Daphnia pulex: one gene and its partners. Each later gene encodes a partner of the first gene's protein in a complex. Links are inferred from orthologs where the notes say so. Each region holds a gene or a part of one and is shown in the gene's direction. Other genes may lie near its edges. The genes, in order: GATOR complex protein MIOS-A-like, nucleoporin SEH1-like, GATOR complex protein NPRL3-like and GATOR complex protein WDR59-like.

Region 1 (7,694 bases):
TGGCCAATCAGACGGTTCAAATTGGTGTACGAAGGGCGTTCAATATCCAAATTACGACGGCAAATATCATAAATAGCTTCATTGTCGACCATGAAGGCGCAGTCGGAATGTTCCAAAGTAGTATGGGTGGTCAAAATCGAGTTGTACGGTTCAACGACCGCAGTGGACACCTGTGGAGCAGGGTAGATGGCAAACTCCAGTTTGGATTTTTTACCATAGTCGACTGAGAGACGTTCCATCAACAAAGAAGTAAATCCAGACCCAGTTCCTCCACCGAAAGAATGGAAAATGAGGAATCCTTGGAGACCAGTGCATTGATCGGACAACTTTCGGACACGGTCTAGGACAACATCAACGATTTCCTTTCCAATAGTGTAGTGACCACGGGCGTAGTTGTTGGCGGCATCTTCCTTGCCAGTGATCAACTGCTCGGGATGGAAAAGTTGGCGGTAAGTGCCAGTGCGAACTTCGTCAACCACAGTCGGCTCCAAATCAACAAAGACTGCTCTTGGCACGTGCTTTCCCGATCCACATTCCGAAAAGAAAGTGTTGAACGAGTCATCAGATGCTCCCGCAACTTTGTCTGACGGCATACGCCCATCAGGCTGAATTCTAAAAATTTTAAATGATTAATTTGTCGTAGAGATAAAGCAATTAAAGGAAATGAATAACTAGACATAATATTTAATCTTACCCATGCTCCAGGCAATAGAGTTCTAAAGAATTATAAAACAGAAAGGGAGGGTTAAAAACCATTTCTTTCATAAACCATGTCTAGACATCTCACCCCAACAGGCATTTCCGATTTGGACTCCGGCTTGTCCGACGTGGATTGAGATACATTCGCGCTGTAAGGGGAAAATATGTGATTACATTAAACTTTTGAAATTAAAATATATTTTGACATATACAATGGGGCACAATAATTATATTTCCTTTCCAAAATAATTGTTCAGTAAGCACCGAATAACGTGTCAAAGGAAATCAGATCAAGGACATGCATTGTGACACCCTAACTGACAGGAAGTTTGAATCGCTACCGGCGACCATTTGCAATGATGCATAGGGCGCCAAGGGCGGGACCGGCATGCGGTCATGCTTCATGCACTTGGGGGCCATTTTAAAGTCAAATTTTTGGAAAACTCACTAGAAAAATGACAAATTTGCTATTGTAACTCATATTAATGGCTCTACATGATCTCATAGAATTATCAGTGCATCCGTGTTACATAAATCCTAACATTCATACGACAAGATAGCTAGTTACATAAACATGTCACAGTTGAATTGGAAAAAGAAATAAAGTTTTAGTAACATACCATTTTCAGAAGTGATTTGGAATGGATTCGAGTTAACTTTAATTAAAGTGGTAACAAAAGCGAGCGTTTATCACTGAGCAACGAAGTAATGTCGTCCTCTGTGGAAAACGGGTCTCGGGATACTGATAAGAGTAACGGAAAGACTGCGATAAAGAAAACGGAGAGCCTATGCGTCACCTGGCGGTTAGAAAATGTCACTTTTTGAATTCACGTTTAACAAGGCCAAAACGTTTTCCTGCGGAGCTTTAAGAGACTAGAGACATGGCAAATACTCGTTCAATAATCCGGTTAAATATTATCAGATTTTACCATTAAACTTTTTTAAAATAAGAATATTTTTAAAAAAGGTTTCTACCAGTTCTACTGCTATGAAATAATTGCTTTGTAGAATGTATAATGGTTTGAAACATAAATGTCTATGGCGATTCTTTTATATTTTGTTTACTTCTCTGTTCATTTTTTGCAAAGGCAGCTCTTAAGGAAGACATGATAGAGATCCGAAAAATTTTGAATCGCAAATGCCACTGTACTTTGGAGAATTCAATTTTTGGTTAGCGTGTAAAATTAGAAATAAAGATCAAGAAGAAAATGCAACACCAGAATTTTCATATTTGATCGAAAGGCTTTAAAAAGAAGAGATGGAGACACGAAAAATACTAATCAGACACCTGAAGCTAGGTTAAAAGGAACCATGTTTTCTTAGGTAATAAATTGGTTTAATATTCGTCGTTGCCTTCGCCCTCGCCTTCAACGGAATCCAATCCCACCTGGAATTTTTTAGAAAGCAAATGATAAGCAAGTAACTTAAATATGAAAAACACATTAATCAATACCTCCTCGTAATCTTTCTCGAGAGCGGCCAAATCTTCACGGGCCTCGGAGAACTCTCCCTCCTCCATACCCTCACCGACGTACCAATGGACGAACGCACGCTTGGCGTACATCAGATCAAACTTGTGATCCAAACGAGCCCAGGCCTCGGCGATAGCAGTCGTGTTGGACAACATGCAAACGGCACGGGAAACCTTGGCCAAATCACCACCAGGAACGACAGTTGGGGGCTGGTAATTAATACCGACCTAATAATAAACAAGATGGATTACAATACTACTGTATGCAATTACTCTAATGCAACCATACCTTGAAACCAGTTGGGCACCAATCAACGAACTGAATGGAACGCTTAGTCTTGATGGTGGCAATAGCAGCATTAACGTCCTTGGGTACGACATCTCCGCGGTACAACATGCAACACGCCATGTATTTGCCGTGACGGGGATCGCATTTGACCATCTGGTTGGCCGGCTCGAAACAGGAGCTAGTAATCTCTCCGACAGTCAATTGCTCATGATAAGCTTTTTCTGCGGAAATGACCGGTGCATAGGTAACAAGCGGGAAGTGGATACGAGGATATGGGACCAAATTGGTCTGGAATTCTGTAAGATCGACGTTAAGGGCTCCATCGAAACGGAGAGATGCCGTGATGGACGAGACAATCTGCCCAATTAATCGGTTCAAGTTGGTGTAGCTGGGTCGTTCGATATCCAAGTTTCGACGGCAGATATCGTAAGTGGCCTCGTTGTCGACCATAAATGCGCAGTCTGAATGCTCCAGAGTAGTGTGAGTAGTTAAGATCGAATTGTACGGCTCAACGACGGCAGTGGAGACTTGAGGTGCTGGATAAATGGCAAATTCCAATTTCGACTTCTTGCCGAAATCGACAGAAAGTCGCTCCATTAAAAGTGAAGTAAATCCGGAGCCAGTGCCTCCGCCAAATGAATGAAAGATAAGAAATCCTTGAAGACCGCTGCATTGATCGGACAGTTTGCGCACTCGATCAAGCACCAAATCAACAATTTCCTTTCCAATGGTGTAGTGGCCTCGAGCGTAATTGTTGGCGGCATCTTCTTTTCCAGTGATCAACTGTTCCGGATGGAAAAGTTGGCGGTAAGTGCCAGTGCGAACTTCGTCAACCACAGTGGGTTCTAAATCGACAAAGATTGCTCTCGGGACGTGCTTGCCCGAACCGCATTCAGAGAAGAAAGTGTTGAACGAGTCATCGTTTCCACCAATGGTTTTATCTGAGGGCATACGGCCATCAGGCTGAATTCTATATGGGTTACATAATTAATGTTGCATGGAAAAATCAATGAAATTGACATGTACGCAATAATGAAAATCTTTGTAGTTTGTAAAATATTCTTACCCATGTTCCAAGCAATACAGTTCTAAATTAATGAATAAAAAAAATTACAATTAATTAAATTTCTTTTTAAATTTCGGTTTACGTTTTATTTATTACCCCAACAGGCATTTCCGATCTGGACTCCGGCTTGCCCAACGTGAATTGAGATACATTCGCGCTGTCGAAACAAACAAATTTGATTAGTGCTTGCATTGTATCAAGTGACGTCATTAATCCGAATTAGACGAGGAACTCTTCGTAAAACCCTCCCTTTTCAATCAAATTTAACAGAATTTTAAGTGCCAGATGTAACGTAACACCGGACATTCATTATTGATTGGGGGGGAGAGCAAACAGGAAATCCGAGAAATTTCAGCTGGCGACCATATGGATAGATGCTGGGGGCACCGACAACGCGGACCGGTAATGAGACTTTGGGGGGTAGCCATTTTTAGGTTATTTTGGATGTCGCAAAAGAAAAAATCGCAGCAGAAAACCGATAGTTTCGCTAATACAATTAGAGGTCAAACTATCGCGTGATTTAACGCGCAATACTGATTGTACGAAAGGGATTGTGACGACATTTCAAAGGATTACTACACGCACCATTCTCAAAGTAACCCAAGCACATTAAACGGACGAACGTACCATATTGAGAAGTATTTAAAGCTGCGGATTGACTATGTAGTTTGTCGTGCGTGGGATCGATGAGCGTCTTTCACAGAGCAACGAAGTGATGTCGTCCTCTATGGGAAAACGGTTCTCGGGATACTAAAGGAGATCGAAGAGACGGAGAGAGCCTGCTAAAAATAGCGGAAAAAGAAGAGACACCTGGCGGTTAAAAATGTACAGCCTTCTTGAAAATACGAATTCTAGTGGTTTAACCGGTGAAAAGAGGATTTAGCGCAGTCAAATATGAAAGTTGGTTTTGATGCGAGAATTCTCACAGTATTTCAACAATCAAGTATTGAATGTGGTTATCGCAGCATAAAGAGAAGCAAATAATGAACTGTCTGAAGAAGGAAACAAAATTACGTAGAAAGTTATAGAGGTTCGTTTAATAAAGATAAAGAACCCATTCACCTGGATATTGCTGTGACTGCGAAACAATATACTGTATACCAAAATTCGCAGTTTCCGATTCGTTCTGGTCGATAGCGGAATTAACTGGGTCGCATGCACCAAGCGAAACTAAAATCTGTTTACGCGCCTAAAAATGCCTACGTGCGAGACGTGATTCGTTCATTTACACCTAGAGGGCTCTTAGCGTTGTAAACAATTGTTCGTCCCTCATCGCCACTTACCGATTGTTGAGCAATTCCAAATTTTTTAAATCCTTTATCACGTCTTCCACCTGGTTGACATTGATTCATTGAATTTTGTGTTTTCCGTACAATAAATAAAGATCTCTTTTCCAATGGCTGGTGGGCGTTTGGAAGTATTTTGGTCCCCTAATAGCCAGGACAAATTCATCACTTGGGGGAGTGATATTTGGCTCTATCAAGTTAAAAATACTTCCGTTAGAGATGACATCTCCTCGACCCATAGTAAGAAACTATATTACCTTACGATTATCATGTGTTTATATTTTATTTTCTATTTCAGGCTTTCAGATATCGAATAGTAGTAGGGCTTACCAGCTAGGTTGTTTAACAGATGTAGCATTTGCTAAATGTCTGGCATGGCTCCCTGTACCAGAGCTTGAAGGAGTTATTGCCATTGGCCAGATGAATGGAAGAGTTTTGTTAACATCAGTACTTGGTTCTGGAGAAACTTCCCCCTTAAATGGAAAAGAATATGCATCAAAACATAACAGACAGTGCAACACATTAGCATGGGGTCTAGCTGAGCCTTATGTCCTTGCAGCAGGGTTTGACAAACACAGATCTGAACATGGATTGATCTTGTGGGATGTTACTAAAGGTGGGAGTGATGGTAACAGACCCTTTCTGGAATCAGCATTTGGAGACACAATTACTTCTGTAACATGGTTCAGTCATTCACAAACAATGGCAGCTGGGGTCAATAACAAGCAACTTCGTCTGTATGATTTAAGAGGTAAAAAAGTTCAGCATGATTTCTTACCATTACAATAGTAACACTTTTAATTTACTTTTCCAGATGGACCAAAGCACACAAGTTCAACAAATACTCGTGCAGTATTTTCAATCATTCAGGATCCTTTTGTTAATCACAGAATTGCATCATATAGTGATAATGCCATATGCATTTGGGATGTAAGAAATTTTGAAAAGCCTGTTCTTTCACTCCAACAGAATAAGGCCGTTTCCAAGATATCCTGGTGCCCCACTCAGTAATTCCTCAAAATTATAGGATGGAAAAAAAATACTGTTGAATTAATGTTCAATTTTTTTAAATCAACAGTCACAGTTTCCTGGGAGTCTTGTGTAAAGAGAGCACTTCTTTGTCCTTGTACGACATTCAGAATGCCAACGGTGTAGCGGCAGAAGAAATGGAACCCATTCCGTTGGAACGTGGATTGATTTTGACTGATCAGCAAAATGAAACCATATCTTCTTTTGCGTGGCATTTAAACGAAGAGAATCGATTACTTTATTCCACAACATCACTTAATATTAGGGTATTTTATCAAATAAACGTATTGATGATAGATGTTACCATATTTATCCTTTTCAGGAGCATATAGTTGTTGATCGAATCACGCTTAATTGGTCACCATCGAGTAAACTTGTATGGAATTGCGGCAAAAAAATATTGCAGTACATCGATGAAACTGATTCCGTCTATACCAGGTAAGAATTTTGGTTTTGCATATTTAAATTTGACCACCCCTACCTTCTCTGAAATGGAAAACTTCAAATTTAGGTTCGGGGATGTTTCGGTAACAATGCGCCAGCGGGCAGTTGAAGGTTACGGACTTGAAGCTGATTTCAAACCTGATTCAGAATTAATGCAGGATGTAACGACCAGGGAGCTCTGGTCCTGGGTCGATACTTGCCGGAAGTTGGCTCAATCAGGAAATCCGCTAGGAGTTCACTTTATGGGTATTAGGTAAGGAAGTTCACTCGAAATCTGAATATATAATTTGATATTAAAGATGGAAAAACTCTCGAAAGGTCTGCTTTGCGTTTGGATACGGATGGAGTTCTAAAATCAGAAGTATTCCACGTTCCCTGGAATGGTGTGGAGTCCGCAAAAATTTCACCTGTCTGCGTCTACAGGTAAATATATCTTTTGAAGAAAAATTAGTGGACTACCTATTACAAAACCAAAAAAATTACGGCTTTTTAGGAGTGAAGAACGGAACCAAGCATTGCGTCTGTGTGGTTGGCCGTACGATCCTGAAAATTCCATATTGGGACCATTGCTAGAAAAGCTTCAAGCGGATGCACAGGTTTCTCGAGCCGCTGCCCTGGCTGTTTTCCATATGAAGATTCGTAAAGCCATAAAGATTTTGACTCGTAGTGGTGTACAGAAAAATCAAGTGTCTTATCAGTTAGTCGCCCTCGCCTTAGCCGGTAAATTTGAGTTTAAGTTATAGTATCATTTCCATAATTTTACCTTTTTCTTCTACAAGGATTTACCGATAATAGAGATACGCTGTGGCAACAAGAAATATGCAATATGAATAAAACTGCTCTGGATGATCCATATCTGCGAGCAGCATTTTCTTTTTTGACCAGTCCATCGGAAAAATACGAAGCAGTCTTGGTATGGGATCATCCATTTAATCTACTTTGATATTTATAATTGTAATTTATATTTGCTTTAATAATAGAACGAAACAGGAATGACTGTTCGGGATCGAGTGGGGTTCGCTTGTTGCTTCTTGTCCGATACTCACCTAAGTGAGTATGTTGAACATCTTAATCGGCAGTTGACCAGAGAAGGAAATTTGGATGGGATGCTTTTAACGGGTAAGTTAAAATAGCTACTTTTTTAAACTTAAACTAGAAGTTTAAACATTGTCATTACCATCATTCCAGGTTTGTCAGGTGAAGGACTGAATCTGCTTCAGAGTCATGTGGACAAATCAGGTGATATTCAAACAGTCAGTCTCCTCAGTTTACATGCTTCCAATCTTGAAGTGAGTAAAGACGGACGAATGCAACAATGGGTCAACAGCTACCGATCTCTGCTTGATAGTTGGAGGTTATGGACGCAACGGGCGAAATTTGACGTTCAATTCTACAAAGGCAATCCCTCTG
Region 2 (7,223 bases), on another chromosome or scaffold:
GGTGTACCGTTATAGAATATAGATCGCTCATTTTGCGACATATTCCACCACATTTCTATATCGAGTACGGTTTCCAAGAAATGTCTATCACGCACTTCGTAGTCGAGTTCCCTGAAAGCCTGTTTAAAAATAAGCCTTCATTTGTACAATTCAGTAATATTGTAAAAGGTTGATAAACCTACATGATCCAGGAAAGATGTAAAAAATTCATTCAGCTTGAAAAATAGAGTGCTGGTACCGCTAGACTGATCCAACATTATCAGATCAATTGAAACGGAAAGTAAATAAAAGTAAATAGACGTCACCTGATTCTTTATAAGTTTTCTCCATTTATCTGAAAGAGTCTCGTGGAAGAAAATGGAAAACGTTTGAGTGTCTTGACCCTGAACAAGACCTCGTTGAGCGCACAGATTTTCTTCTTCCCTTTGTAATTGTTGACACATGGTCTGCATGTCGATGTCTGCAAATCCATGCGGCGATCTAAATGCCCGTCAAAAGTAAAATATTTGAATTGTTAATACCAAGAAAGATTTAAAAAGTTAACTGAGAAGATAAGGAACCTTCCGTGAATGTAGAAGCCGTAGCGCGAGTGAATTCGAAGCCAAACTGATATGTTTGAAAGTGTACAGACATCAGTAAATCGTTGGATTTTGTGCTCAACGTAACGTTCGAAGAGCGCGGCATTCAAAATATTTTGCGCTAGGCTGAAGAAGAGATAGGTGGACAAACCAAGCGCTAGGCGCAACACTGTGTTGTAATTTAAAAACGTGTCTGCCATGAAATAAGTAGCTGGAATTTCTAAAGAAAATCGCTCAAACTGGAAGACCTACCAAATGACTGGTGTTTATTTTCACGCTTCATTATAATCACAGCTCACTAATTATACCTTGAGTGTCGATAACACTAGAATGACCTGTATGGATATAGAGCTTTTACGCGCTACTTGAAGTTCGTTCCATTCGTTAGCAACAAAGAACATCCTCCATACGCTAACTATTTCGCCTTTCGTCGGCCTCGGACTCTCCCAGTCAATAAGAAAAATATCGACGTTACATTGTTCTCCGATCATCCATAATACACTAATCGTCTGCAAAGGATCCATAGATACAATCGGATACAATTAAAATGACCTGACTATGAATAGTTCCAATTATTTCAGACCTTTAACGTGAAAGCACTAATGACAAGGTCTTTAATAAACTGTTCTTCTTGCCTTGCAGGAAGACTAACAGTCACTTCCTCTTGTTGTCGAAAGGTCATAAACCAGTAAAAAGTGATGAAGAAAATCACTATTAAAATTACGTTGGCCAATATGTCTGCTCCGTAGACCAACAAGCGAATTAGAGTCTGAAGATCAATTGTTGCTTTATCTGATCTTATGTACCTGGAAATTATTTATTATTAGTGAAAACCCAATCAAAGTTAGCTAATCAAATTATCCAAAGTTGCCAGTACATACCATACGACAATCCTTATCAAAGCATAAAGAGCCCCGAAAGTGCTCAACACGCTCAGTGCAATCTATTGATAAACCAAAAAATTCATTATTGATAACGTGATTGTGAATGCGAGGAACAATGTGATAATTTCTACCTCAAGAGATTTCATAGCTTCATCCATACTAACGGTATTTTTTACAGCGAAATGAATAACGGGTGAATTTCCATTCTCAAGGCTACCAATAGATTCGTAGTTGATTGTTGCATAAGGTAATCGTAATGCTAGTGATTTTTCACCAGACATAACAGAAATTCTAAGAAATGCGTTCAAGTTTCAAAGTTGTTCTCGCTTTTTTTTTATAATGAAAAAACTTACCTAATAGTAAGAGAAGATAGATATCGGACGAAGTCGGTGTTTCCTTCTTGATTACTTCCAGTTGCCGAGTCAAAATTAAAGAACCTCTTTGTGAGTTGCCATCGAGAAATATCTTTATCCTCCTTTGTTCATCAGGTTTTAGTACCGTAGTAATGTTGTATTTTCTGAGCGTATAAACTTACCCTATTACGTTGAACGCCTCCGCGAACAAGGTTCAATATTTTTATTGGAACGTTGATCAATCTTGATTGATTAATTGCCCGATCAACGAAATAAATTTCATAAAAGCGCATATCAGCCATGTTGAAAACTTTCGAATAAACCGAACAGCTGTGATAAATATTGGCATTTCGTTGGATTGGTTTCCAAGTTCCAGTGCAGCACAATGATTTAAAAACCGATTGAAGAGGCTGGATCAATAAATATGTACCATCTAATGCGTATTGTTTAACCATAAAATCCATTTTCTAAAAAAAGTCATTAATGAAAAACTTTTCCTGTTTAGTCCGTAAAAGTTATAGATGCTACTTGATCTTTCAGTATGTTTATCCTGGCGGAGTTTAGTAGATATTCGTTTTGACTATCGTCGTAGTATATTGAATTGCTAAAGCCTCCAGATAATTGTCGATAAAGAGAGCAAGCTGACTGAGAATCGTAGTTGTAATCCGTTAAGACACAGAGATTGATCAGATGTTCGCAGTATTTTCCTCCACCGTGTGCCTTTAAAGAAAAAAAATTGGTGTTTAATAGCACAAACATGGTAAATAATTCCTACCTTGCATTTAATTGCCGTCAATCTAACCCAATTCCGCAAATAATTAGAAATGTAAGGTCTCCCGTGTAAGTTATATGTAAAGATAGTGGGTGTTTCGGGAATCGTGAATAAATCTTTGACGCAAGTTCCGTTCACATCTTCGTATTCACTAGGACAATGACACATGTTCGAACAAGGAACGCACGAAGATTTTGTGTCATCAGGCTGATGCCAAAGCGGGCATTTCAGACATCGTGCGGAGGTAATATTTCCAGTAATTTGAAGGACTGTGATAAAAATTCAGAAATTAATTCTTCTTTACTATACTTAGCAGATAGGACCTAGGTAAATGTGCGTTTTTCATACCTTTGATGTCGTACGGTTCACACGTGAGATTGCTTTTTAGACACATTTCTGACTGAATTGATTGGTTACAGCGTAAGCATTCAATTGCTTTGGACTTTTCATTAAATTCAGGGTAGTAGCCAAAGCCACACTCACAACTCAAACGGTCATCGGAAGATATTTGAAAGACCCCGCAACCTTTGCACTTATGTGATATCGAATCAAAGTAGGAGGAACGATTGCAGCTTTCAGGAAACGAAGACAATATGACATCGTAAGCCTCCACCTTCTTTAAGATGAAAAAAAGCAGGTAATGAGCAACTAACACGATCATCGTCACTTTAAATTTTTGTTTGTTTTGTAAAGCATATTTGTTACCTAGCAACCACTCCCCAGCAATGAGCCAAGTCAGCCAACCAACAATATCAGAAAAAACATCGTTTCTTTCATGAATCAATCTGGCAACGCCCACAACTGTCCCATACTGCCATAGTGCCATACATTTGAAGTTTGATCAGTCGAGCTGTCGGCTGCTTGCGTTCTTGCTTTCTTAATTCTGTGAAATTTGCAAGCAAAAACTTGTTTCTCGTGATTAAGAAGTGATTTAAAAAGTTCTGTAAACATGTTTCAAGCAAGAACGATAAATGCTGAACACAAAGACCTGATTCATGATGTAGCTTATGATTTTTATGGGCGTCGATTGGCTACTTGTTCCTCCGACCAGAGTGTTAAAGTAAATTGTTAGAAATCGAAAAAAATTTCTTGTGTTAACTAAATTGCGGAATTATCTTTCAAGGTTTTTGACCTGGATGAAAATGATGAATGGAGATTGACTGCTGATTGGAAGACTCATGCTGGTTCTGTTTGGAAAGTAAATTGGGCTCATCCTGAATTTGGTCAAATTTTAGCCACTTGCTCATTTGACAGAACAGCTGCAATTTGGGAAGAAATTGGTTTGTAAAATTCTTTACAATTTTAACAACTTAAATTAGTTACTAAATGCATATCCAGTTGGTGAATCAGGGAATTCAACGCAGAGTAAAAACCAAAGTCATTGGGTGAAAAGGACAAGTTTGGTAGATTCAAGAACCAATGTGACTGACATCAAATTTGCTCCAAAACACATGGGACTATTGTTAGCTATGTGTTCAGCTGATGGAGGAGTAAGTTCTAAGATATATTTATTACATTGTTAAATATATAAACCAGATGAAAATGTCAATTTTATAACATAATAGGTTAGAATATATGAAGCCCCAGACATTATGAACCTAAGTCAATGGAGTTTGCAGCAAGAAATAACACTGAAAATGCCTGTGTCTTGTCTATCATGGAATCCGTCATTTTCTCGTCTCCATCCTCCAATGTTGGCAGTTGGTAGTGATGACACGAATGTCGCCTCTGGTGGAAAAGTGTTTCTGTTTGAGTACAGTGAAAGCTCCCATCGCTGGTCTAAAGCTGAAACTATCAACACAATAGTCGACCCAGTGCATGACATAGCATTTGCACCTAACTTGGGAAGAAGTTACCACATTCTAGGAATTGCAAGCAAAGATGTTAGAATAGTTATTCTTAAACCACCTCAGTAAGTAGTTAAAATATTTTAAGGATGGAATAAGAATAAATTTATAATTTTTTTTATTAAAGGAAAGATGCTTATGCAGCAGCTTGTCCAACTTCCCAGTTGGAGATACTGCAGGCAGCCCAATTTGATGACCATCATTCTACTGTTTGGAGAATCTCTTGGAACATTACTGGAACTATTCTAGCTTCTTCAGGAGATGACGGCTGTTTAAGAATGTGGAAAGGCAAGAAATCAAGAAATATTTAATGCCATGTCTGGCCTATTAAATCAGCTGTTTTTACTGTCTATTTCCACAGCCAACTATTTGCAGAATTGGAAATGCATTGCCGTGTTGAAAGGTGATGGATCGGGTGTAAGTCCAGAAGACGGAACTGATCGTGATAAAACCGTTTCTGCAGCAACTGCTCGTTACTTTAAACTTGGCGCAATCAGCAATCCAAATCAAGTACCCTGGCACTAACATTTACTTCCCAATTTTTATGATAATAATATGTCTCTTCCAATCCACACAAATAACTGGGAGTTTTCATTTCTGGAGAAACCCATGGTCTCGAAAATGGAAAGTTGTTCTGAAGAAATAAATGAAATGATATGGAGTTTTAAACTATGTCATTTTTTCATGTCACATTCGTTTAGGGTCAAGTTGTTATAAAAACACTTTTCTCTAGTAGAGTAGCTATTTGTTTTTTTGTTAGGAGGGAAATGATTCAAATGATTTGATCATTTTCAGCTGCATTACTGCATACATTTACACATCTCTAAGGACATTTACAACAATAAACTGTAAGGTCATTTTTGTGATTTTTGACAAAAACTGAATATTACAAAACTCACCTGTTAGATTTTTGCAAACGTTTGTTTTTGTCTACCTCCAGTTTAAAAGTCAGTAGTTCCGTAAATATTATCAGTAAGTATTATTTTGACGCAAATAAGAAAAGAACTAAGGATTTGTGATCTTCGTCAAATTTTGGGTCGATTGCATGTGTCTGTAGGAAATATAGGAAAATCATCCTATTCGTGATTTTCCCTAAACTAGTGATAGCCATCACAAAAATTTACGATTTTAGTTTTAAAAAAATCATTTTTAAACATGGGAAATTGAGCTATCAGTTCCTTCCGGTAAATTTGTATAATTCTAGCAAGTGAACTTCATTCTCTTTACAGTTTTTTTTTTTAGATTTGAAGTTAGCAGGTTAATACAAATAGAAATACGCTGTTTAAGTGTTGTAATTATCTAGATGGCTTAATTAGTGGACTGCCTCGTCGAGTTGCATCACAGTTTGCATGGGTAGATATAAAACTGTGTGTAATCAGCACGATGACCGAAAATAGTAAAATGCATCTTTGGTACCTAAGTGTTAATTAAAAACAAAGCGATCAGTTTTCTTAATATTATCTGACAAACTCTCAATTTCTCGGATCTCATACTTCATGCCCTTTTTACCTTGTTAAAATTGGTTAAAATCAGACGAAAACATCCTATATTAAATAACAACAATGATAAATCTATATAATTGACGAGTGAATACGGCTACAGCTATATCTTGTTCGTCTTTAGTCTTACCCGTAGTTACCCGCAGATAAAGTGATGATATTCAAGTCGATGACTACAAACTAAATTGGGACTAACTCATACAAATTCATGGAAATAACAGAACTTTGCCAAGTTTTCCGTTTATAGCATTACCCCTTATATTTAAAAAACTTTGTTCGTTTGCTTCTTTTATGAATCTTTCAGAACACAAGTGCAAAAATTTTCAATTTTGCGGGGAAATAATACTCTGTTGCTTAGTTCGGCATAGCTATAACACAATATAGGGTGTGCGGGTGCGGCATGTGAAATCACTGTCCATCAACCGTGGCGGCTGCATCTGTACTTGTTAGCTCATAGCCATCGGGCAGATGTATAGGTGGCCTACCAATTACCTCCGCTGTCTATTTCGATGCTATTCACCTCAATGATCACAGCATGAAAAAGCCATACCATTCTTCTCGCTTTACATCCCCCGAAACCAATGTGATATGATAGCCTAGTCTTCCAGTAACACTGGTTATTGAGGGTGCTAGTTGCAAGCTCCTCCCTTTGATACATCTATCTTGTCGACTAAGGAAAACCAAAGCCGTTCGCGGGTCAGCCATCGGTTTCATTAGTTAGCAAGATTGTCGCCCAGTGATGTTGAGTTGTCGGAGCTCTTACTCAAGCAAATCTATTTAGACGTGTGCATTATTTCGAACCTAGAAGATGGATTCCGAAATGATCAACAAAGAGCAGGAAATTAATCAAGAAGGTTCCACAACAGAGGAGTCCACGATTAATAAAAACATTGTTAGAAACAGACTGCCGCAAGAAGGAGTTTTCATGGCTGCTGTAGACAAACCAATCGAGTTAATTACCGTTAGGCCGAAACCGAAAGTTGATTTCAGCATTGAAGCAATCCTATCGTCTCGAACATCTACACCATCAGCGATTGTTGTCACTTCATCGGAAATCTTCACCTCCGAATCCAAGTCGAGGTCCATCAGCGATCACAGCGATCCCAACTTTTCCTGGGTCTATTGTACACGCTACCGACCTCCGAAGCTTCCACGTGAGTCATTTGTAACACTGTTAATAGAGATAGAGACATTTTGTTAACTAATGTAATATTTCTAAAGGTGCTAAAAGAGAAATGAACTTAAGGAACCGTTACCGTAATCCGCGCATACCCTTCTCTACAACAGAGG
Region 3 (7,844 bases), on another chromosome or scaffold:
AATTTATGTCAACTTTCTTTATTGACACGACAGCAATGTTGGGTCATGTATGTTGACATATTGATATAGCTGATGTGATATTTCCACCAATCAACAATTTCTCATGAAACATTTTAATGGTATTAAAAAAGATCATGAATCAATGTGGAGGGAACCCTTATGATGCAGTGTCATTGGCTGTGAAATCGGCCCTTTATGCAACATAAATTCCATCTATTAAAATATCAACCATGGATGGATATCAACATGAACTGGAGGTATTCAATAACACTCATACTCAGGCTCATCGTTGTCGAAAAGCACTTGGAGGAGGAATGCGGCAGGCGGGTATTTTGGCCGCAGCCGGAATTTTGTCACTTTCAAAGGGACCTACCAGGGTAGCTCAAGATCATATTTTCACCAAACAATTGGTCAATTGGCTGTTACTGCGCAAGAGGTTGGAAAAAGCGTTGTGGAAGTTGATCGATATACCGTAGAGACGAATATGGTTATGCTAAAAGTCGAGCCCATATCAGGTGCTACCCCTAATTCAATTGTGAAAAGATTTGCTGAATCTACTGAAAAGGAAGTTCACGGGATCGGTCAAGATATTCGTTGGCTTGCTTACCCGATGACTGAAACGAACATCATAATTGTTGTTCACTGCAGTAACCCACCTGAAGACATCAATCTCGCTCAAGACAAATAAGGGTATGTTTTTGATGAAATCAATCAAAGTAACGCTGTATAAGTAAACTGGAAGCTTCATAAGTGCTTTATTCCATGTAACGATCATTACAAACGTAGTATTGTTGTAGATTGGGGAATTAGTGGAAGAGCTGTTCTTTTGTTTGTATCAGCCGTTACTCGTCTTCTATTCATGTGTAAAAAATGAATACATGTGCATGTACATGTTATTTACCATTTCGTAGTTGTCGTTATGAAATCATGCGTTTTATAGCGCTTTTTTTAAAACTACCTTAAGTCATGTCGCATATCTAATTAGGTTTTTTTCCCCCAAGAAGCCAAGCACTTCCACTAGTGGTTAGATATTATACATAAATACAAAGCTCGAGCTTCGAATTCAAGCAAAACGTAACACGGCGTACAAATGTAGGGAAATTTGATTAACTGCTTGGACGTGTTTATTTAATCTTTGCTAGTAAAAAAAAAGAGAGGCCAACACCCAAGCAATAAAAGTAAGCCAGCAGTTACACACGCACGTTACGATATTGATTGGTTTCAAACCTTCTCCTTCTCCGAAAAATGCTTCATCGTCGCTCTCAAACGTGTTATCGGGCACCTTGTAAAGGCGGATGACGGGCTTGTTAGGATCCTTCACCAACAAATATTTGCCATCCTCTTCCTTCATACACAAATAATTAATCCAACGGAGAATGCCCCAAGCATTGTCGATATTAAGGTTGATTTGCGATGCGAAATCTGACAGGTGGAACTGCTGTGTTCCAAGGATTACACGACGCGATGTATCTCGTAAGTGCATACGTGAAACATATCTGAAGCAAACAATATTAGTTACAATAATGTTCGAAGGACAACAGGAGCCTTCACATACCCGAATTTAATCCAATCAGAGTTGGCGAGCAGAGCTTGCACAGTCCATTTTGCTAGCTTGCATGCATTATTCTTCAGCTCGTTGGCCTGAACAGCACCTCGCTGAGTGTCCAGTTTCTGGCGCCATTCGACTTCACCAGACAACTTGAAGTACTAAATTATTTTAAAGACACAGTTTCATTACGAACAGTAAATATGCATACCCTTGAGTCCCATTCATTAAGAGCTTTGATGTTGATAAATTGGTTATCACCAGCCGATCCAACGGTGACAGCGTCATGTTCGCAACGTGCCACCAGGACACCACCTCCTGAAAACTTAGTATTAGACTATTTATTTCAAATTCAAAGTTTTAACCTACAAACCTTCATCAAAGTCAGTACACAAGGAATGTTCTCTGTGTTTAGTCTCTTGGTATTCATGATCTATTTTAATGCCATTAAAATGATTCATGAGAAATTGTTGATTGGTGGAAAAATGAGAAATTGATGATTGGTGGAAATATTGACAAATTCCCCCCAAAAAACCTAAACCCCGTGAAAAAAACACCCTATCGGGAAATAAATATTTAATTTCGGTGATATTTTAATTAGAAATTGACGTAGGTGTTCGTTAGTTGTCGCCGCCTAGCGGTGATTGTTGGTTTACCACTCTATGATTCTCTGGTTTTGTTTTGGTTTGGTTTGATTAGGTGCGTCTGCTATCTGTGATTCTCTGGTGATTCTCTGGATTCTGTTTGTTTCTAAAAACCATAGTTTACAATTCTTAGCGCTAGGTGGAGACAACCAACGAACACCTCTCCCGTCCCCTCAAAATTTAACCGCAAATATCTTTTAATTTAATATCTTCACAAGAAAGGTGCTTTGGAGACTTAGAATAGCTTTTTTAATCTCTATCGATTGACCCTTCTTAAAAAAATATGATTAAAAATACACCCGACAAGCTATAACACGGCGGGATAGGACGTGAGTCCCGTCCTCTAGCTTTAGTAGTCCATGGTGGATACAACAGGCCTTAACCATAGAGTAGGCCATGGGGTAACTAGGCTACTACTACTATAAAAATGTTGGCTGTTAGATCTTTCAATAGACTTATTTATTTCAAAAGGACACAAATTGGAATCCAAAATGAACAACTGAGGTATGAATTTTGAAATATTAACTTGTGCATCTGTGTGAGTGTGACCTTATTATGGAAAATGAGTATGTGACAAATAAATAATGATGGTATATTTTTTTCTAGGACTGTTATGCAATCTTGTTGCAGTAGATCCACTAAGCAACCAGAAAATCCTGATATGCCTTTGTCATTTTCCAACTCAAACGCTGCCAAATGGTCAGCACAACAATCATTTAGTGGTGGAGGAAATACTGGTGAATCTCCATGGTATGAGCCATTTGTGATTTCAGCTAGTGTTACTGCCATACTAGTGTGGTTTTGTGTCCTGAGAGAAGAAAATGATGTTGATGATAAACTTGGAAAAAGTTTATATGACAGAGTTGATGGTTTGGAGAAGAAACAATTGGAATTGGCTTTGAAGCACAATATCCAAGGAGTGGATACAGTAGCCATTAAGAAGAGACTAGATGAATTGTCAACAAATAGTTGAATTTCCTATCTGTAAACATAATTTAATTGAAGTTGAAATACATTAAGTAAAAACCAGTTTATTGTTTGGTAAATTTTTTGCGATTCTCCTTTTCAAATCATTTGTTTGCTATTTATTTTTTTTACGTTGAATCTGTGAAGAAACCGTAGATGGCACTGTTTTGTTTTTGATTTTTAAGAATGCAGACGAAAATTGAAGCAAATCTCAAAAATTGACAGTTTGCGTCTTGCGTGGTGTTTCTGCCTCTAAACGCCTGAAGTTAGCGAGAAAATTCATAGAAAAAGAAGCATGGATGTCAATCCGTTGGCGGTAATTTTGGGTAAATATATTATTTACAGATAAAGCTTATTTCAAAAGAAAATATTTAATGGGAACAAACGTGGCTTTAGTCGAAAACGGTAGCAAAGGTGATCGTTTGTTGTTTCGCTATCCTTATGATACTCAAGCTACACCAAACTTTGCAAAACGTACACGCGCAAGTAAGTTCCTTACGAAACTCCATAACTTCCAGCGCAAGTCTCCAAGTTTTTTCTCTGTTGTATTGTATAGAGCAACTGCAAACTCCATACCCCCAGATCAGTGCTGAAGATATGCAAAAAACAAGTGCAGCATATTCCAGTACAATTAGTGGTAGTGTTCACAGCTTTCCAAGCAAAGTATGTTAATATACTCTCTTAATATAATCTGTTTTGAAACATTGAAGGTTATTAAAACATTTTTTCAACTATTTAGGTATTATCCAATTTGTTTGCTGTGAAATCAGAATTGTGTGGAAAAAAATTTGAAATAAAAATAAATGACATTCGGTTTGTCGGTCATCCACTTCTTGTTTACCACCAGGGTGAAGGCAAATCTGCTGGCTCTAGCCAGGAATCAATTTTGTCTTTCAATGTAGTTTTTGCCTTAAAGGTAAAGAGATTCCATTTTAAACTTGCATGATTTTCATCAATATTTTTTACACTTCTAAGGCATCTGCAAGTCATGCAGTAGTTGACTGTTATCATGAAGTAAGCAAGAGAATAGCAGCTGCACTTTGGCATGAAGAGCGTAGAGTGGCATATTTGAGTGAAGAAGCCAAGGTCATGACATCCACTCAAGATGACATTTCTTCGGAATTGCCCGATGATCCACTAGATGTGCCGTACCATTTAATTTTACAACGAAGTCAGCTTGCGCGCGACTTGCGTCGTGTCTACGAAGATTTACAAATTTCTGGGAAGATACATTTGCGCATCAATCGATGGATTCTGATCAGCTGCTGTTTACCTCAAAAAATCTACCACCTTCTTGACCCTGGACTTGTTATTGAACCAGCAGACATTCATGCTTGCATGGAAGCATTGAGACCATACCACGCCATTTTGCTGCTTGGGGACAAAGAAAAAATCATCAATAATCTACCTCTTGATTCGTCCCCCGCTTTGAAACGACTCATAAATCTTGCGAATCCCCTAAAAAGTTTACAAACTTTAGCAGCCGATGCTGACTTGACGCTATCACACGTCTTTCAATTAGTGGGTCACATGCTATACTTTGGACACGCAACCATTATATATCCTCTTTGTGATAGCAATGTTTACGTCCTTGCAGGCAGTGCCAACACTTCCCCACAATCCAAACTTGCTGATGTCTTCTCCGAAATGTTCAATAGTGCTTGTTTAATTCAGATTATGTCCGAATTTTCCGTTCCTGTATCATTGAGCCAGAGAAGGAATCCACTCGCCACTCCAGAGCAAGAATCAGAGGAAATTAAAATTATTATTTGGATGCTGCAACATCATTTGCTCATACAATTGCACACATATGTACATATTGTCGTTGATGACATGCATCCGAGATCATTTAACAAGGGTTCATTTCGTAGTGCCAAAACGGTAAGTTTTTGTGTTTAAAGTATAACGATTACTGTAGTTAAATCAGACAGTATTGTTTGAATTATCCCCTAGACGCGTGTAACGTTTGCAAGTCGCCAGTCCACTCCAGATGAATTGAATGCTGGATCCAGCCTTACACGAATGCCCAGCGATAGCGACATGGCCTCTGTTATTAGTGACGAGGCTTTGTCCAGTCCACCTTCACATAAGAGCATCAGTAGTAAAGCTCCGTGGTCAATCGAAAATATTCTTTCGGCCTCTCTGAGTAATGCTGAAAGAGAGGCTGTCCTTCAAGTTGATGCCGCTGCCAACTCAGAAGACTTGGAACTTTTTGCTCGGTAAGCTAAACTATTATTTAAAAACATCTTTTCATGAATAATCTAATAGAAGAAAACACAGGCTTTGCAAATATTTCCGCGGGAAACACCATCTAGAGGAAATCATGTACTTGGAAAATGTTCGAAGATCGGACCTACTTCACCTTATTGACAAATTTCGAACTATTCTCATTACATTCGAACATGAAGATTCAGCTTGCTCCGTTTTCTACAAGAATTCTACAACTTAAATATCATATTTTTCAGTGGAAATCAAAATTGGTGAATGTTATATGGAAGTCGTTTTCACTTGATTTAAGTTAAAAGCGGTATGTGAACATTGGCGTTAACACTAGCTCGCATCAAAAACCCTCCCTATTGGTCTCCTACGAAGCCGACTGTTGCCGTAGCTCAATACCTGTGTCTACATCGCAGCTTGCGAGGTAATCTTACGTCAGGAAGTCGGTTGGGGGCTAGTGACAGATAGGCCAATGTCGCATTCCTGTTCAACCTTTGTAAACTTTAAATTTTATCTCAGGACAGTATATGTTTTATTTGCTATTAAAATATGAATTTTCCTAAATATTTTACAAAATCCTTAGAATCAAATTTGGCAGAAAGTGAGATTGCTAATTGTTTGGTAAAGCAAGAATAAATATATCTACTTTTACATATGTTAGCTCTACTTTACAATTGTGCATGGTAATATTCACCTTTATGAGGAAGCAAAATAGATGGCAATGAATGAAGTGATGATGACGTACAGTGGTGAAATATTACAAGCTAAAACCTGTTTAAAGAATCTTTTTTCGGGAAAAGCTCAAAGAGGTAGAAAGATAAATAAAGAGATCGGCTGAACGACTGCTATTATTCGCAACGTTCTGCTTCGCGGAGCTGATTTCCTTTGTATGCCATTGATCTCGGATGGCGGAGCATCTTAGGTCGAAGGTTATCTACATCATCTTCCTCCAACTCTTTTCGGGCTTGGATAAACTTGGTTTTGAGAGACATAACATCATCGCCAAACTCAGTCAGTACAGTAGACATCTTCGAAACATAGGCTGCAATCAATTAAGAAGTTGCATGTGTTAGAAAATAAGAGTAAACAATAATTTTACTTGACAAACCTTCAAGATCAAAATCAAGTTGATCGGGAAGTTCGATTAGCTTAGCAATCGTTTCATGCCATTTCGGAAAACTCTCAAGTAAATTACGATGACTTTCAACGACATCTTCCTCCATCTCTTGTAATCGGAATGCCGCTTCATGAAATGAATACAATTCTGCCGAAAGTTCTTCTTCTTCTTCCTAAAATACCATTGTAGCTGGAATAATGAAACACAAAAAAAATAAAAATAAACTTCCGAACCATGATCAATTGTAGATTAGGCTCCGAGAATGATGGGCTCGATTTCAACAGGTTTGGTTCATTTTCGGAGGGATCACTCACATCCACTGCTAGCTCTTTCACACGATCAGCATACCTGAGTGTATTCAGTGAATTCTCACAAGAGGACATACCAGGACTTATCATTGCGATCTAAGAAAATAAATAAATTAAAACGCATATTAATCCATTTATCACCGCTGTATTGAAATTTACCATGCAAGTTTTGGATTTTTCTCCTATAAAAGAATCTTTTAACACTTGGGTTAACTTCGAAGCACGAAAGGGAAGATGCGCTCCTCGCCGCCCAAGAGCCCTGATACATTCCTTCAACGCTAATAGGGACTTGTTGATTTCTGAGCCCTCCATTCCTAAAAACTCATAAATCACTTGAAATAAAATAACACAAGGAATTAAAATGAGAGCTAACTTGTCTGTCGATCCGAAGAGTTAGTATCCGCTCCACGTTCGTTGCCAGCAAGATCAACAAGGGAAAATTTGCCATAAAGCCGAGAAGCAGCTCCAGTGCGCAGAATAATTTGAAACACAGCGTGAGAACGTGACTACAATGACCAAATGAAAGACAATTAAAAGAGGAACCTACACTATCCTAAACTAAACCACTACCGAATTTGCATTTGCTGCTGTTTGACCACTAGTCCTCATTCGACTACCATGACGTATAAGATCCAGAACCTGATCAACAGATTCAACAGTTCTTTCACTTAAACCCACTACTTGAACTTGTTGTTTTCCATCTTCCAATACGCGTAGCTTTGCTTTACCATTCAGTAAGTCAAAAACCTAAGAAAAATCTTGAATAACGGTGAAATAGAATAAGCGTGTAAATAAACTTACTTTTCCTGAATAAATTTCGAAAAACGATGCCGATACTTTAAGATTAAGGTCGCGGTATTTAGGCTGTTGAACATTTTTAAAAACATCAGTTGCCGTTAAAACATAAATTCCGTTACCACAATTCTGATTCTTCCCCTGAATGAAAGCACATTAGGTTATGTACTACAGTTAACGTGGCAAAACAATTTTCTATTATAAAATACCAGAAACTCTCCGCCCATAGTGTGCGTCTTACCACTTCCAGT
Region 4 (7,168 bases), on another chromosome or scaffold:
TAAATATGACAATTTCTTAATTTTTTTTTTTTTTTTTTAGTTATTTGTGTGTGATAAATCAATAGTTAATAGAACTACTAATTAACGATATTTTTTTTCTTTTGCCTGTATAGCCCTTTGGCGATGGCATGATGACAACACAATTACGACGAGGAGAAAACAGTTTGCTACTTTGGAGTCTATCCGATTTGTCTAATCCGGTTCATTCGTTTCTTGGGAATAACGATCTAGTTCTTGAGTTTGATTGGAAATCTTCCCGTTCCGGTATAATCAAACGTTCAAATTTAAATTTTTGGACTTTGAAATTATTTGATTTTTATATGTTTAGATGACGACGACTATCAACTTATCACCTGGTCAAAAGATCAGAGCTTACGAATTTGGAGAGTGGATGTTAACCTTCAAAAAGTAGGGCGAATTCAAATTTCAATTATTTTTCTGGTTTATGTAAAAAAATATTTAAAAATATTCTTTTTGCCAGTTATGTGGCTATGAACCTGAAAATCAACCACAAATCGTATATGAAGAAAACGAATCGACTTATGACGTTACTGGTGACATAAATTCATTAATTATTAGCATGAAAAATCTGTTTTATATTGTATTATTTAATTATTTAATATGTTCAGCTGTTGACGCAATTTCAACAAAAAGCGACAAAGACATTGAAGTTGGGCTTGAAGTAGTGGAAGAAACCTATTTAGACCTTCACCATAGTTTGGCACCGTCTATAATTGTACCTGACTCGTTACGCCTAGCTGGACATAAAACTGTAGCAGCCTCTATAGCTGCAGCACAAGCTGTACTAACCAACACGTTATCACCAACATCCCATCGGAAAAAGAAGTCTGCGCTGTCAATAAACAGTAGCATCGTCGGAATAGATGCGATTTCTCAACCTGAACATTATTCATTCAACAAGGAAATCGACCAACTTAAGTCATTAGGTAAATTTATGTCCCAAATGAACTATTAGTAATTAACTGAATACGTAAACTTTTCCCTGGAATAAATTTGTGGTTATTTTTCTGTTTCTTCAGGTTCCATTGGTACTGATAACTCTATCAGTGTTTGCGATGTAGACGAGACACAACGAAGCTTAACAACAGTGATTCGCACTGCAAAGCATCAAATAATACTTCATATTTCTATGCCTCCATCGTATCCCGACGGAGCGATTCCAAATTTTCTATTCGGAAAAGGAACGACTATTGACAACAATGCCAGAAGCAAAATGTTAAAAGTATTTCGAGAGAGTTTATTCTTGCGTAACTCAAAAGATTTATTTGACACGGCGGCATTGTACAGGTTTTGAAACAAGCAGCAACTCTATCGTGCCGCAAAGGTCATCCGTCTATAGAGCTCGTGCTACAACAACTTCTAATTTCAGTCGATCAGTTAACACCAATTGATAAGTCAGAAACGGAATCGTCAAAGACCATAACATTGAATGTCAACTCATCAACTACCGGAAATACTCCTTTCAGGTAACATTTAATTCGTATTTAGTTACTTAGATGAAACGTATATTCAATATGCTACTAAACATAATTAACGAATCTGTTTTCTAGGTTACCGCAAACTGGTCTTGGGCATCCTGGTTTCCTACAGAATGGCGGTTTATTTGGTAGTCTAACTCATCATCAAGACCACAATATTCCATACCCTCGGTCATCCGGTGCTCGATTTTGCAGTGCTGGTAATGTCATTAAAACAAAAAACATAAAAATATCCTTCAGCAAACTGCTATATTGATTTGCCCTTGTTTTATTTTATACAGGTATGCTGATTTGTTTTGGTCGACCATCCTATTTAAGGTTTTTGATTAATTGAAATGATTAATCGTACGACTAGGAATTCATCAGTTCTATTTTATTTATATAATTGAAGGCGTGTGAACAGTAAAACTTCGGACACTTCAACTACACCTCGTTCTCTATCCGTGAACCAAGCTTATTCATCAAACTTGGTACAGCATAGCTTGGTAGCTTCATCAAATACGACTCCTTATGGATTGTTGTATCCGCCCGTTGCTCAAAGTCCGACCGGTGATCCGTCAGTCAGCATCTCGTCTTTTTATAACCAAGACAGGGTAGGCTATACTTGGAAGTATTTCCGTGATTGCTGACATTAGCCTTTTATTAATGAGATAATTCCATTGCTGATTAAATAACAAAATATTTTGTAATTCATTCAGAGACAGAAATCTCGAACTTCTAAGTCGAAAAATAGACTTTCCTCTTATAGCTCGTCTTCAGACGAAAATAAAAGGGGAGCTCAAGAGGCACGTCATCATAAGGTGGTCGGAATGGTGACGATTTACGATGCTTCTGGATTGATGCCACAGCAGTTAGAATTAGCAGAAAGATATGTGTTAGTTTATCTTTTATATATTTTCTTGTATAATAATTCCTTGAATCAGATTTAGTCATAGTTTCATTACATATTTTTATTCACCAGATTTAGCGATACTGATACGGCATGGATGTGCAACCAAAATGCAGCGGTTGCTGCGCAGTTTGGCAGAAAAGATTTGACTTACATTTGGTCGTTGGGTGCCCTTCTGGCAACTCCTACCTTGATACACGAAAATAATACCAATGACCTTGATACCCCATGGGCTCAAAATCCATTCGGCCGGAAGCTTCTTCATGCGATGTATGTATATGTGTATTTATTTGATCTCTTTAGCGTATACTTAAAACAACACACCAACATTATAATTTATTACAGTATCGACCACTACGTGAAATTACGAGATATACAAACTGTAGCCATGTTGTGTTGCGCATTTGGTTACAAATGTGATAGTCAGGAAACTTTCCGGCGTAAAACAACACGATCGGAATCGGGCAGCGTAAGTGTAGAAGCTTATTTTAATTTTTTAACATGAAATCTGGCATTCTGAAACTTGGTATCACGATTAATAGCACTAGAACCGATAAGCAAGGTCTTACGTTTGATTGTTAAAAAGGTGATCGTCGGATTGGCTTTTCTCTCGAGTGTTCTGATCATAAAATCTTTTTTTATTCTAATTTCTTCGTGCTCGGCTTCCGTTTCCTGATTGCAATCTGGTTTCGCCTTCCTTTTTCAGGGGAATAATTGCATTTCAAATTCTTTGTGGTCTGTCCTTTTGTTTTTGGTTTTTTTTTTTTTTTTTTTTTTTTTTAACTAAATTATCTTGCTCCATAATATCGCTACTTCTTTGTCTCAACATGCTCTCTCTAACACTGTGGCTTATTTCCTTGGTGCTGCTGGGATTTTGAGAATGCTGACTGCGGGATATCAATGAGTTTTTTTTCCTACAGCGCAACTTACGGTGGGGTTTAAAGGTAGGCATATATTCCTCTAGATTTTACCCCCACGTAAGTGTGATGGTTTTTTTACATGAAAAATATCTAATCACAATAGTGGAGAATATGAGTTTTCCTATTTTTCCTCGCTTTTTTCTCTTTTAAGCTCTTATGATGAGTGAACTTTAATTATTCTGATGTTCAACATTAGCCAGGAGAATCACCGTATCATACAATACACCCGGGCGACACAACTTTAGATAGCTGGAATGTCTTAAAACAAATACGTTCAAATTCGTGGTCGGATTCACTTGATGATTTTCGTCTTGCAACTCCTGGAATTAACTCTGTCCCAAGTGGTCGCCCTTTGCCAAGTAAGGGCTTCTCCTTAAATTTTTAGAAATGTTATCAATTTTGTCTGAATGGGTTTTTATTTCAGTCGCTTCCATTTTCCTACCCCACTCTGTGACGAGCGTCGTTTCAGTGAATGGGACTGATGGAAGTGAAGAGTATAAAGACAAGGATTTCAGGTTTGAAATTTTTAATAATTTTGAAATTTTGATCGCATTCACATCAAGAGTTTTTATTGTTGTTGAATTTCGTAACTAAGCGTTTTCTTTTCTCAATTTGATTTCAAGATTACTAGATCCGAAATTTAATGGATTATTTGACAACTACCGTCGATGTTATGCTGATATCCTTTATCGCTGGGGACTTCTCGAGGCTCGCGTTTTGGTATGCGGATTAAAAATAATAACTTCTTGGCCGTACTTCTTGAAAACCAATTTTGTCTATTCAAGGTTTTGAAATATTTATCCACTCCCATTGATCCTCATAGAGGCGTGGATTTCGTAACTGAGTGTGTTCCTTGTAGGACTACGGTTAGAGGGCCGCAATGCACCCTTTGCAAGCGTTTGCTTCTCAATTGCGTTATTTGTCGAGTTGTTGTAAAAGGTAACTATCTTAAAACCATCTAGTAAATATCAGTCATGTAATAGCGTTAGAGGTGGCATAATGGTTGAATCATTTATTTTCAGGCTCTGCGAGTTTTTGTCTGGTGTGCGGACACGGTGGTCATGGTAGATGCATGTCGCATTGGTTCACTGAAGAAGACGAATGCCCTACAGGATGTGGTTGCAACTGCTTGTTGGAAAATAACACTGTGTTTTCCGTCTGATAATATATTAAATCGCATTAAATACGTTGAGACAAAGAATACATTTGGTTTACAAAAAACTTTGAAACTATACAAATTTGCTACAAAAGTAAAATTTCCGTTATTCTCAGGTTAAAATGTTAAATTTCTTTTTTATAAGAAACAAACGGAATACTTTTTTAAATATTTTTGCAGAAACAAAAAATATTATTAACAAATTTTTAAAAAAGTCCCGATAGGGATTCTAATTACGTTTCGACCCCAAAGCGTCACTTTATCGTTTCGATTACTTTAAAGTGGTCGGTCAACCCCCTGTGCAGTCCGTGACGTATTCCTAATACACTCATTTATGAACGCTCGTTACAAAAGTTGACGTTTTCCTAGCGAGTGATAAATGAGGTAACGTGTAATCAAATGTTGCTAACCTTTTAGGGGATTGTGGCTTATGATGTATAGAGGATAACGAAATTGGAGTGGGTCACTTCCGAGTGTGTGTCGAAACAAAACGGAACGACGGAGGTTGCGGTTTCTTGAAAAGGATAATTCACTCGTATGCACCAAATTACCGTTTGTCGAAAGTGACACGGCAGTGAGTTGCGACGCTCAAAACTGTCGACTAGTGAATCACGTCAAGTTATCCAAATCGTTCGGGGAAAAATAAAAATCCCTCCTTTCCTAAGGCTGAAATCATAAATGGTAGGTGTTGTCCAATATTTCCTAGTTTAAATTATGACATTTAACAATTATTCAACATGCTTCATTCCATGTCATGCAAAACAGGGAAGTTCATAATGCGGAATTTCAAATCTATTTTGGAAACATTTTACTTTGGTTACGTTTGCTGGATGTTGGTATTATCCAGCTCAGTATCGGCCGTCCACTCCAAGACGCCTTTGACGAAATGCTGTTTGAATTATCAAGCTGTAATTAATAATAATAATATACATTAAAAAAAAAAAAGATTTAAAATTAACAAATAATATCAATACAATCTGCAGTACATGGCGGAATTGGACGTCTGCCGCGATTGGAAAGGCTCCGTAACCCATTCGAAAATGTCCGCGGCCCCGCCCGTTTATTCTGTGGAGAGGAGTGCTGAACCCACTCCCGTCCGCGTTGAATCAAACAGTTTTCAAATGACGCATCGCCTCAAACGCTGCCCAAAAGGCTACGTTGGAATGAGTTCCACGGAATTCAGATTTTACGAGGACGGCTCCATTTTCAGCCAAGACGAACACGTCACTTACCAATCCGGAGACTTTTGCATCCAAGAATCCTTTCCTTCCGGACAGTTGATAGCCCGCTACTGCGTCCGAGATCCGTGCAACCGCACAGACACCTGCATCCGTAAATGCTGTCCAACCTTCAAGGCGTTCGATATTTCCACGACGCGCTGCATCAATTACTCGAGCCAGTTGAACGTGACGCTTTACAATCAAACCGGCTATTCGCTTAACCTGAAATCCGAAGAAATGTTCGTTCGGGACGGAGTAGCTCCACAGTGTAAAGATGGCTACAAGCACAAGCTTCTCAATCAACACGATTACCATCTGAGATCCAACGGTCTATTATTCGTATTCCCCAAAAAACGATGCTCTTCACAGAGTCAGACTGATGTTGACCTAATAACGGATGAATATTGTGTTGATTATTTCATGGACGTTGACGGCACGGTAACTAGATTTGAAAAATACCTGGAATTAATTTTTCCGAATTTTCAATAAGCTTTTGGTGTAATAATGTAGTCCGCTCAACATGCTCTGGTCTGTGTCGCAGCCGATGATACAAATCCTATTTATTCCATCTTCTTGTTCATCTCGTCTTTCTTCCTAGTCGCCACATTCGCCGTCTACGCCCTCATTCCTGAAATTCGAAACATCCACGGTTGAAATATCAATTTATGCGCATTTTGAGTTCCAAAAAATAATCTTGACCATCTATAACACTATAATAGGTGTGGTTATCATGTGCTACGTTGTCTCCCGAGCTGCTGCTTACCTGATTTTTGGCACTCTCCAATTGGTTGGCACAACCCGATCGACTGTCGCTTGCCGAATTATGGCCATCCTGATTCATTTCTCCTACATTTCCACCTACACCTGGCTCAACGTTGTTTGCTTCGACATCTGGTGGACTTTGAAGTAGGAACAATTTCACGACTCTCTCTTGTGTGCACTCCAACTATATATATACATTTGGTTTGTGCAGATCCATGCAACCGTGTAGTTCCGTCAACACGGCCATCCGTCAAAATCAACTGGGCAAACCTTTTTTCGCTTATTCGCTCTATTCGTGGGGTCTGGCGGCCGTCATCGTAACAGTCGGACAGGTTTTAGATTATTACAAGACTTCCGAGGCCGTCATCAGACCCGAATTCGGAGAGGACACCTGCTGGTTTTCAAGTAAAAAATTAAAAAAGAAAAAAAAAAATTGATAATGTGACAGACTGACATTTACAGCTTTTTTAACTGATGACCATGAAAACACTGTGATATCACCCCACAGGTTACGGAGCCATGTTCGCTTACGTGTACGGTCCGGTTTGCGTCTTGATTTTCGTCGATATCATCTTTTTCGTCATGACAAGCATTCTACTTCGACGAGCTGGGATCGGGTCGGGAAATCGCCACTCCCGCGAGAAATACCGGTTGGTCTGCCATCTTTTCTTTTCTTCCCATCAATACATACACCGTCATAAATGTCTTCACTTTTTGGCATG

Evidence for each region.
Region 2: GATOR complex protein MIOS-A-like (region 1) and nucleoporin SEH1-like share a complex: the UniProt entries of both Drosophila melanogaster proteins name them as parts of the GATOR complex. The link is inferred for Daphnia pulex from reciprocal best matches to the Drosophila melanogaster genes mio and Nup44A.
Region 3: GATOR complex protein MIOS-A-like (region 1) and GATOR complex protein NPRL3-like share a complex: the UniProt entries of both Drosophila melanogaster proteins name them as parts of the GATOR complex. The link is inferred for Daphnia pulex from reciprocal best matches to the Drosophila melanogaster genes mio and Nprl3.
Region 4: GATOR complex protein MIOS-A-like (region 1) and GATOR complex protein WDR59-like share a complex: the UniProt entries of both Drosophila melanogaster proteins name them as parts of the GATOR complex. The link is inferred for Daphnia pulex from reciprocal best matches to the Drosophila melanogaster genes mio and Wdr59.

The regions. Positions count from the first base shown.
Region 1 is NC_060021.1:9,126,165-9,133,858, forward strand, and holds the start of GATOR complex protein MIOS-A-like, read left to right. Parts: upstream 1-4,764; 5' UTR 4,765-4,921; coding exon 4,922-5,051; intron 5,052-5,109; coding exon 5,110-5,562; intron 5,563-5,617; exon of another isoform or gene 5,618-5,625; coding exon 5,626-5,818; exon of another isoform or gene 5,819-5,889; coding exon 5,890-6,106; exon of another isoform or gene 6,107-6,162; coding exon 6,163-6,278; exon of another isoform or gene 6,279-6,351; coding exon 6,352-6,537; exon of another isoform or gene 6,538-6,602; coding exon 6,603-6,707; intron 6,708-6,767; exon of another isoform or gene 6,768-6,777; coding exon 6,778-7,004; exon of another isoform or gene 7,005-7,063; coding exon 7,064-7,197; exon of another isoform or gene 7,198-7,264; coding exon 7,265-7,403; intron 7,404-7,461; exon of another isoform or gene 7,462-7,472; coding exon 7,473-7,694. Other genes in the region: tubulin alpha-1 chain-like, read right to left, coding at 1-612, 695-716, 788-848, 1,320-1,322; tubulin alpha-1 chain-like, read right to left, coding at 2,036-2,086, 2,153-2,398, 2,460-3,429, 3,526-3,547, 3,622-3,682, 4,153-4,155. UniProt on the Drosophila melanogaster protein: An essential component of the GATOR subcomplex GATOR2 which functions as an activator of the amino acid-sensing branch of the mTORC1 signaling pathway.
Region 2 is NC_060020.1:7,747,504-7,754,726, forward strand, and holds nucleoporin SEH1-like, read left to right. Parts: upstream 1-3,361; 5' UTR 3,362-3,536; coding exon 3,537-3,647; intron 3,648-3,710; coding exon 3,711-3,867; intron 3,868-3,925; coding exon 3,926-4,077; intron 4,078-4,152; coding exon 4,153-4,499; intron 4,500-4,561; coding exon 4,562-4,722; intron 4,723-4,795; coding exon 4,796-4,959; 3' UTR 4,960-5,103; downstream 5,104-7,223. Other genes in the region: meckelin-like, read right to left, coding at 8-119, 183-245, 306-480, 561-826, 887-1,087, 1,162-1,384, 1,460-1,521, 1,594-1,753 and 5 more. UniProt on the Drosophila melanogaster protein: Probable component of the nuclear pore complex (NPC). Involved in maintaining the localization of another nucleoporin Mgtor to the nuclear envelope of early meiotic female germline cells.
Region 3 is NC_060022.1:6,639,353-6,647,196, forward strand, and holds GATOR complex protein NPRL3-like, read left to right. Parts: upstream 1-3,341; 5' UTR 3,342-3,451; coding exon 3,452-3,482; intron 3,483-3,552; coding exon 3,553-3,642; intron 3,643-3,712; coding exon 3,713-3,819; intron 3,820-3,895; coding exon 3,896-4,072; intron 4,073-4,131; coding exon 4,132-5,037; intron 5,038-5,109; coding exon 5,110-5,375; intron 5,376-5,436; coding exon 5,437-5,605; 3' UTR 5,606-6,028; downstream 6,029-7,844. Other genes in the region: eukaryotic translation initiation factor 3 subunit D-like, read right to left, coding at 1,139-1,496, 1,556-1,698, 1,758-1,864, 1,920-2,007; uncharacterized protein LOC124195566, read left to right, coding at 2,618-2,694, 2,797-3,163; kinesin-like protein KIF2A, read right to left, coding at 6,222-6,415, 6,482-6,662, 6,724-6,894, 6,958-7,112, 7,172-7,304, 7,369-7,545, 7,600-7,734, 7,803-7,844. UniProt on the Drosophila melanogaster protein: An essential component of the GATOR subcomplex GATOR1 which functions as an inhibitor of the amino acid-sensing branch of the TORC1 signaling pathway.
Region 4 is NC_060019.1:12,025,745-12,032,912, reverse strand, and holds the end of GATOR complex protein WDR59-like, read left to right. Parts: intron 1-113; coding exon 114-264; intron 265-328; coding exon 329-408; intron 409-481; coding exon 482-554; intron 555-629; coding exon 630-947; intron 948-1,040; coding exon 1,041-1,243; intron 1,244-1,308; coding exon 1,309-1,487; intron 1,488-1,571; coding exon 1,572-1,699; intron 1,700-1,780; coding exon 1,781-1,817; intron 1,818-1,890; coding exon 1,891-2,092; intron 2,093-2,197; coding exon 2,198-2,373; intron 2,374-2,460; coding exon 2,461-2,658; intron 2,659-2,733; coding exon 2,734-2,857; intron 2,858-3,267; coding exon of another isoform or gene 3,268-3,308; coding exon 3,309-3,332; intron 3,333-3,504; coding exon 3,505-3,667; intron 3,668-3,732; coding exon 3,733-3,823; intron 3,824-3,931; coding exon 3,932-4,028; intron 4,029-4,093; coding exon 4,094-4,247; intron 4,248-4,330; coding exon 4,331-4,470; 3' UTR 4,471-4,492; downstream 4,493-7,168. Other genes in the region: G-protein coupled receptor Mth2-like, read left to right, coding at 5,241-5,372, 5,448-6,122, 6,195-6,333, 6,404-6,590, 6,658-6,851, 6,955-7,096. UniProt on the Drosophila melanogaster protein: A component of the GATOR complex, which functions as a regulator of the amino acid-sensing branch of the mTORC1 signaling pathway.